Danio rerio: one gene and its partner. The protein of the gene in region 1 interacts with the protein of each later gene in a pairwise test. Links are inferred from orthologs where the notes say so. Each region holds a gene or a part of one and is shown on either strand. Other genes may lie near its edges. The genes, in order: zhx1 and zmynd11.

What was found.
Region 2: the proteins of zhx1 (region 1) and zmynd11 interact in a two-hybrid assay, tested with the Homo sapiens proteins (2 studies listed by BioGRID and IntAct). The link is inferred for Danio rerio from reciprocal best matches to the Homo sapiens genes ZHX1 and ZMYND11.

What each region holds. Positions count from the first base shown.
Region 1 is NC_133191.1:47,767,630-47,772,156, reverse strand, and holds the start of zhx1 (zinc fingers and homeoboxes protein 1), read left to right. Parts: upstream 1-1,517; 5' UTR 1,518-1,795; intron 1,796-3,695; 5' UTR 3,696-3,800; coding exon 3,801-3,960; intron 3,961-4,527. Other genes in the region: atad2 (ATPase family AAA domain-containing protein 2), read left to right, coding at 899-931. UniProt on the Homo sapiens protein: Acts as a transcriptional repressor. Increases DNMT3B-mediated repressive transcriptional activity when DNMT3B is tethered to DNA. May link molecule between DNMT3B and other co-repressor proteins.
Region 2 is NC_133199.1:31,319,994-31,324,275, reverse strand, and holds the start of zmynd11 (zinc finger MYND domain-containing protein 11), read left to right. Parts: upstream 1-1,193; 5' UTR 1,194-1,343; intron 1,344-4,282. UniProt on the Homo sapiens protein: Chromatin reader that specifically recognizes and binds histone H3.3 trimethylated at 'Lys-36' (H3.3K36me3) and regulates RNA polymerase II elongation. Does not bind other histone H3 subtypes (H3.1 or H3.2).

The DNA of each region.
Region 1 (4,527 bases):
GCATCTAGCATTAAACTATGACGTTTGATGAGTGAGTAACTGAATCATTTATTGAAAATGAGACTAAAATGAAATATGAGTTGTACAAATTATGTTAGATTTATACATGCAGCGTCATCAGAAACAGTAGCAGTTTAGAATTCTTCACTGAATATTTTACTATTTTTTATTCCGCTGATTACTTCTTCATTTTATTTTGAATTAATTTACAGGTTGTAAGTTTTGTTTGTTAAAACCAAATGTTTCTTGCAATGCTGTTTTTGTAATTAACAGAAAGCAAATTACATTTGTCTCCTCCCTTTTTGACTGATCCTGATCCATGATTTAAAAAAAAAACATGTGATCCAAACTGAGATGTGTGATCTGTTACACTACTAAAAACACATACTGCTTTAAGTACATGGTTTAATTTACATTTAACTCATAGGTCTCATATTCGATTTCTAGAGGGCCGCAGCTCTGCACAGTTTTGTTCTTATCAAACAGCTGATCAAACTATTTAAGGTGTTCAAGACTACTAGACCAGGGGTGTCCTAACTCTGACCTGGAGGGCCAATGTCTGCATAGTTTAGCTCCAACTTCATTCAACACACATACCTGGATGTTTTTAGTATACCTAGAAAGCACAATTAGCCAGTTCAGGGGTGTTTAATTGGGGTTGAAAATAAAGTATGCAGGACACAGGCCCTCCAGGACCGAGTTTGGAAACCTCTGTACTAGACACTAATAGATTAGCTGTGTTTGATCAGGTTGGAGCAAAACTGCAGAGCTGCGTCCTCCAGGAATTGAGTTTGAGACCTATGATTTAACTGATTACCATGCAGTTGTCTTAAAGTGATTTGCTTTATTTGATTACTTGTATTTTCTGCAATTTAATTGTGTATTTTTTCTTTTGCAGGAGATGACAAAGGAAGTCCAAGAGTTTTCCTAGTTTACCTTTTTAATAAACTATACAGTATATTTCTTATGAAACTGGTCTATAAATTATATTTTGCCAATTCTTTAGTCATGTCTTTTGAGTGTTGTGCATACTGAGTGCGTATTAAAGCCTTTATCACAATTCTCAGTGTCTCATGGATTTCATGCTGTACAAATAGTTTCAGTATTGGAACAAACATCTAATCTGCTCAGCCCGAAGTACTGCACAAAGTTAGGTGTTGTAATCAATTGCGGTTCTGCTTCAGGTAAAATGTAGATCAGCCTAGTAGGAAACATTAGGAAAATTCCACTTGATTCTACTGAAGAGAGGCATGGTGGTCATGTGACCACAAGCTAGCTCTGATTGGGCAGCTTAGTACTTCGCAGGTTCTACGTTTTTATAATCAGTGCGCTGATTTACTCGCGCAAAGTCGCGTTTAAAGTTAATAAGTATATTCATCGCAGTCATACAAAGTCTTATGTGAGTATTTTGACCCACATATAGTCCAAAAGTATTGTTTTATCGCCAGTTTTATTTGACAACGGGTAGTCGCCTGGCGATGATGTCACTACGTATAACACTGACAGCGGTGACGCCTGATGATCATTAAAAACTGCCATTAAAACGAACGCAGATGACTATTGTGTTTATTGAGAGACCTATAAAACACTGGTGTACTGTGCCCGGTCAATTAATAGACAAGCTGAGACATCAAGGAGAGGAGCATCCGATCGGCGTGGCATCTGTCCGGTCCATCCAGGGTTTTCCCCCCTGTACGTGCGGCGGGTCTCGGTCCGTCTCGCCTCCGCTCTTCCTGCTGCTGAATCGGGGGGTTTTCGCACTGAGAGGCGCGACCTGACTCTGAACCCACGGCCGGTGAGTTTCTTCACACCCTTTAAGCTTACGCACTCATAAAAAGTACCAGAAAGTACCATGCATTACCTTGCTTTTGTACTTGGTGATATGATTATACTATAGTAAAATTTTAGAAGCATGGGGTACCATGTTATGTGTTGTTATAGGGATGATATCTCTAAATGTTTCTGTTATACTTTTATGTATATCATAGTACTGTAATTCATGTAGCATGGCATTAATATGGTACACAGGTGATTTGGTCAGCATACCATAGCAATACCGTTAGATTTTGACATGTGCCATACAAAAACGTACTGAATATAGTAATAATTTCTTGTCATGATATTATCAACTGTACCTGTATTGTATAGTCGTCGTATTTTGTGAAGGAACAAACTTGTCTAAACTTTATTATTATTTTTCTGGCTGCAACTGAAATACTGTTCAGGAAAGACACATTACAGGCAGAATACATTATATTAACAATACTTAATGCATTAATAAATCACTCTTTAGCATTATGTTTTTAATGATTTAGTTAATGTTAACATGTAGCTTTTAACTTAAATGTGTTATAGGAATTAACATTAAACAAGATTCCTTGTAAGAAATGAACCGTCAATGGTGGAAAGAGTACTGAAAATTCATACTCAAATAAAAGTACCATTACTTGCCTGAAAATGTAGTGCGTGTAGATTAAAATCTGTGGTAAATATTACTCAAAGTATGAGTAAAAAGTAACCATTTTAACAGTCCTCAAGAATAGTGAGTAGTGAGTATTTTGCTGTAAAAAGCTGATGCATTTACATGTGTGTAAACATAACATTCTGTAGTGCATTTAGTTATCGCCCAGCAGGCACACAACATCATATGTTAATATTAGGTTAGATTTAGGTTGTGATGTCAGGTGATCAAAATTCAATGTCTAGCCATCGTCTAAGGGCAACGTTATTTTAATGTCCAATAATGACATCAAATGACGTTGATATTTGGTTAAGTTTAGGTTGTGTTGGAAATTGACCAAAATCAATGTCGAGCCAACATCTTTAACCAACATCATATTGATGTCAAATGCTGATGTCACTTTTTTCATCTGGTATGGCAACCAAAATCCTACCTCTGATAGACATTATTGTGGTAATATCCATACAACATCAAGCTGTAACATCATTAGATGTTGATATTTTGTTGATTTTAGGTTAGATGTTGGACATTGAGGCCGGCCTGATGTTGAGTTCTGATGTCAACCCAATTTTCATTTTCAAACAAAATGCAGCATCCCTATGACATTGGTATGCAACGTCAATCTAAAGTTATGACGCCATTTCGGTCATCATACAGTAAACATCTGTCATCTTCTCATCAGTGACATGCATCTAAACATGCGTCTCTGGGTCAAAGTGTGTAAATATTTTGGACACTTTTAATGCTTCCAAACAGTTTGCTGCAATTATAAATCGCCCATGTCTTGAGGTAGTTCATTATGATGCGATTTACCTTCTATGTGTGATTTGATTGGACGGGACCCATAGGACTGAGATTTTTCAAATCCCCATAGACAAGAAAGAAATGAAGTAGTAACTGCAGGTAGAAGGAAAGTAGTGGAGTAAAAGTACCAATACAGCAAAAAAAAAAAAAAAAAAAAAAAATTCAAGGGAAATTAAAAGTAGACATTTTAAAAACTACTTAGTAAATTAAAAATGTTGAGCAAAACTACTCAATTACAGTAATTTGAGGATTGTAATTAATTACTTAACACCACTGTGAACAGTTTTACCATTTTTAATAAAAACAGTAGTACTTTTATTATTAATAGTTTTACAACCCTTGTCCAGTATTTTGATCTAGTCTGTGATTAAATAGGTCTGTAAACGTTGATATTTATATATCAGCTGTGTTGTTTGTGCTTTTCTTTCAGGATGCCGAGCTCAGATCGTGTAATGGGACAAATGTTTAGCATGTAAATTCAACCTCACGGAGGTTCTGGCCAGCTTATATTTTATTGTTCACACTCACAAGCACAATGTCAAGCAGAAGAAAGTCCACGACACCCTGCATGGTGCTTCCATCAGATGTCGTAGAGCAAGATCCAGATATGGAGGCCCTGGAAGGGAATGAAGGAGCCGAGAGTATGCCAGACGGTCCTACAGAGGGAGCAGTGGTTCCCATGGAAACAGAGACAGGTGAAGTTCACTTCTCAAGGCCATTTATTTATTTATTTTTTGTCCTGGTCAGAATAGCTCTCTGTCCTCACCCAGAGCGACAGGTTGTTAGTGGCAAGTAATTGCTCTGTTCATAATGAATGCTGGAAATTCAGATCCTGTTTTGATGTTTAATGTGATGTTGATCGAGAGCTTTGCAGAAATGGACAAATCCAGCACACAAATCAAGCTCTGTATTAAAAGCATGGAGACTTTAATAAAATATACTCCCGTCCAAAAAGTAGTGGAATTAGAAGTATAAAATACATTATGATTAATACTTAATTAACAATTAATAATAATTCCAGGGTACAAACAAGTGAAAATAACAAAAACCCTTCAAATTGTTTTTTAATATGCGTTTGCTGGTAAATATGAAAAAAAAGTAGCGGTGGAAAAACTATTATGTTTAAATAGTGTTTTTCTAAAAATATTTAGCATTTGCAGCAAAAGATTCATCTTGATGACTCTTGGTCAGGACAAAAAGCTAATTTAAACAACTGCTTCTCTCCTTATCTGCTATACATGTTTATTTAACACAGTTCTTTT
Region 2 (4,282 bases), on another chromosome or scaffold:
AATGCTACCACTACTGATTAAAAAGAAAACATCTATCTATCTGTCTATCTGTCTATCTATCTATCTATCTATCTATCTATCTATCTATCTATCTATCTATCTATCTATCTATCTATCTATCTATCTATCTATCTATCTATCTATCTATCTATCTATCTATCTATCTATCTATCATCTATTATGACTGACCTGTTTAAACAATGAAATTATGGAGAATTGTTGCTTATTATAATTGCTTATTATTATTAATCATAACACATTTTGAAACAAACACACAGGTATGTATTTAAACACATTTATGCATGCATTAAAACAAGTTTTTGCAGTAAAAGCTAATAATGATTTGTAGTACATTTTTATTTTTTAATGCAAATTTTTAAAATGTTTTTTTTAATGCTGATGTTTATCAATCATGAACCAACATTTGTTTGTAAATGTATCCTTGTTGTACAGTAGTTTTACTTTACTATACTAGTTTAGTTTTTGTACTATTTGGTTATAGAAACTGATTTTTTATGTTTTCATTTTTCCTTTACCTTTAAATGTTCAGTAATTTAGTTCATTTAATTTAGGTTCTGTAAGTTTATTTCGTTTTGTTTTAATACTTCAAACTAAATTAAAAGAAAATAAAAATCATTTGACTAAAATAGATTTCAACCATAGTTTTAGTCAAAGTTAAAAAATAACCTTGATTCTAAAAAAAAAAAAACAAATGAATGAAAATTTAAAGAGGTGTGAGCATGTAATTCTTGCCCACATGCCGATTTTAGATTTATATTATGCATGCATTACAGAGATTTATATATATATATATATATATATATATATATATATATATATATATATATATATATATATATATATATATATATATATATATATATATACACACACACATATATATATATATATATATATATATATATATATATATATATATATATATATATATATACAGTATATATATATATATACACACACACACATACAATTACCACATAGACTAAATTATTATCGACTTTAAAATGCAAATAATATTCAAGAAATATGACAGATATACAAACTTATGAATATGAAAAAAGAGCTTCAAGGTGAGACGTGCAGAGTAAAACGCGCAACTCCTGCGCCCTGCCACTAGAGTTCTCCCACAGCCTGTGACTGTGTATGAATGTGTGTATGTGTATGTGTGTGTGTTTACCCCCTCCGAGCTTCAACTGTGGCCGGGCTCCTTCAACCAACCACTATTCTGACATTTAACTCCGGAAACACAAATGTAAGCAGCGCTGCGTTACATCCTAAAGTGAGACGGAACGGCGAGGCGCTTGATCAGCTGTCGGACAGCGGTAAGTACGCGCATAAACCGGGTCGTTTTCATGACATTCGCTGCAAAGAGGAACAAAAAATCCACTCCCAACTGGTTGGTTTTGTCTAGAAGCGAGGGAGGGATATCAACATGGCGTCCATGTAGCTCACCAACCAACCAACAAGAATGTGTAGGCACCGATGAAGGGTTTTCCCTCCATTTGCAATCTGCTGTGCTATTAATCGTGATTTCTAGCAGTTTGCTCTATATGAAGCGCGCGTCAAAAACAGCTTGCGCGTTTCCGATGTCTTGATGTTTATAGTTTAGCGACTCTTCGCCGTTTGTTGTTTCTTTTAGGCACTGCACTGCGTTTAATTGATTATTAATAAGCCATACAGCTGCCAAAGTCATCATGGTTTTTGGATTTACACTATTTCGATCGTTTAATTAACATAATCGGGTTCCTAATGATTTTGCGCCATACATTCCAGCACTCGAGCTGTGAACCACATGAACTGTTGTAGAGGCATCCGTCGGGGTTTTAAAAATCACTGGCAACATTTCTAAACGTTAACAGTGTAAACTAAAGTTATGTCTGTCAAAAACTTCCAATGTTGTTGTAATGTTCGATAAGGAATCGATCGGTTATCCTCCTTTCTGCGCATGTATTTATTGCGCAATAAAACAAACAGGTCTTCTCGGCGACATCAAGCCGCAATCGGTGACTTTAAAGATCTTTACACATTAAAAAAAAATTAATGACATAAATCTCGTGTAAATCCACATGAGATGAATTGTACTGTATACATTAGTCTGCTGCAAAAGCGGTTTAATTCCACATTGAGTGGGTCGCCACTTCATGGATGCTGCCATGTTGATATCACGTGACCAGTCATAAAACTGACAAAGTTGCTAGTAATTATAATCATGTTTAACTACATGTTCAGTAGTGTTATTACAGTGAATTGTTGCGAACCAGCAATACTCATCTTAATAGGATCATATGATGCCAGTGTAACCAAAACAGAGTGAGTTCTACCAAAAACTCACCCATAGGCTGTCCAAGAAGGTTGCCTTTTTCTTCAGTGGAGCATTAAAGCAGAAACGGTGAACCTTGGTGCATGCCTTAACTTTAAGATTACAAAAACATATTTAGGCAATGTCAATGGCTTCTGATGATGCGTAAGGGTCTTATGAAGCAAAACAGGTCTGCACAAGTAACTGAACATTATATTTACATCATAACTTTTAATCCACTGCCTCAATGGAAAGTTTGGACAGTCTTCACACATCCTGGATGTTGCACTTGGGTTACAGATTATCTCAATCAGAAATCTAGATTTTCCCACATTGACTACTGATAATGTGATTATGCGATATGAAGCTCATGCTTTAGAGCACTGCTGTTTGCTGGAGTATGTGAATTTAAGGTTATTACGTTGTACATAATGATTTGTTTCTTTTACAGACAATTTATTTTGCTTAAAAAGACCTCAGAATGTAATGTCAGGAGACAGTTATTAATTTTTTGTGCGTTCATGTTTTTTTTATAATTACTAACTCTAAATGCGCTTGTAACCTTTCGTGTGCATTTTTATTGTTACCAAGGACTATAGTTTGTTATATCCCTTCTAATGTTCTATTTTTGAAAAAGTCACCTAATACTTTGTGACTTTACATTTCTGGATAAACTGTCCTTTTTTCTATTTAATTAACAATTTAATGTTATTACATTAAGTGTCACACTTTTTACATTCTTTACAGGCATATCTTTTATGAAAATAAAAAAACTGTCAAGCCTGACCCCAGGGATTCACAACTGATTATATATATATATATATATATATATATATATATATATATATATATATATATATATATATATATATATATATATATATATATAAATATTATTATTATTATTATTATTTAACATTAGTTGTTCTCACCTTCCTTGACATTCCTGCACTTTCATTAGTAGATTTCAGCATACAGGAGTTGTTTCAGTTGGTCTTCTTAGTAAAAGCCATCTGGCAGATGATTGTAGAAGCTGTAACTTACAGTATGCACAACAGCAATAAATGTGACAGTCATTTTCATCTCTTCTTCATGCCACATGGCACTACAGGCACTTTGTGGAGAGGGTTTTCAGGGTTCAACGCTAAGGATTTTTTTTACTGGCCCGATTGGGCCAGTGGTTCAGATTTTTACTTGCCCTGCCAAAATTTTCACTGGACTCACCAAACAAAAGATGTTAATAGCTATTTCTCAGCCACATACAATATTTTAAATAATGTTTCAAAAGCTAAACATAATTGAGTTTGGGGTCAGTTTTATACACAGGTTTTTAAAAAAAAATTATTCAGTTCATCAAGTTCATTGAATGTTAAAGTTAGACATTTAACGTGCACATTTGCCCGTAGGAATGACATCTTGCCCTGCTTATCATTCTCTCTTCATATAGCCGTATATATGGCTATTACACAATCGTAAGACACTGTCATATAGCCTGGGTCGTTAGTTCATTGGACCGTTTTGCTTTCTCACTACAATTGATCAGCTCAATCAAGCAGAGACCATTTCAGTCAGGCGATCTCGGATCGATTAAATTGGCGCAGATCCAAGTGCGATTGCTGGACTCGCATATGCCAAACAAACCACACTAACCACAGGAAAACGAGACAGATTCCGAAATGAACGTCTTGTGTGTGAAAGCACTCTAAGATTGTATTTGCACGCAACTGACAGACGGTCACAGCCAAACTTTTGTGACAAGGCAGCACTGGCCCAATCCGGCCAGTAACCATTCTGTACACTGGCCCGAGTGTCTCGCACACTGGCCCCTGGCCATCATGCAGTCCTTATTGTTGAGCCCTGGTTTTTATTGAAAATCATTTGCTTTCTATATGCTATTTTGACTATTAATCTAAACAGTGATGAAGAGAACTAGATTTAGTTTTTCTATTTACTGTCTTTGGT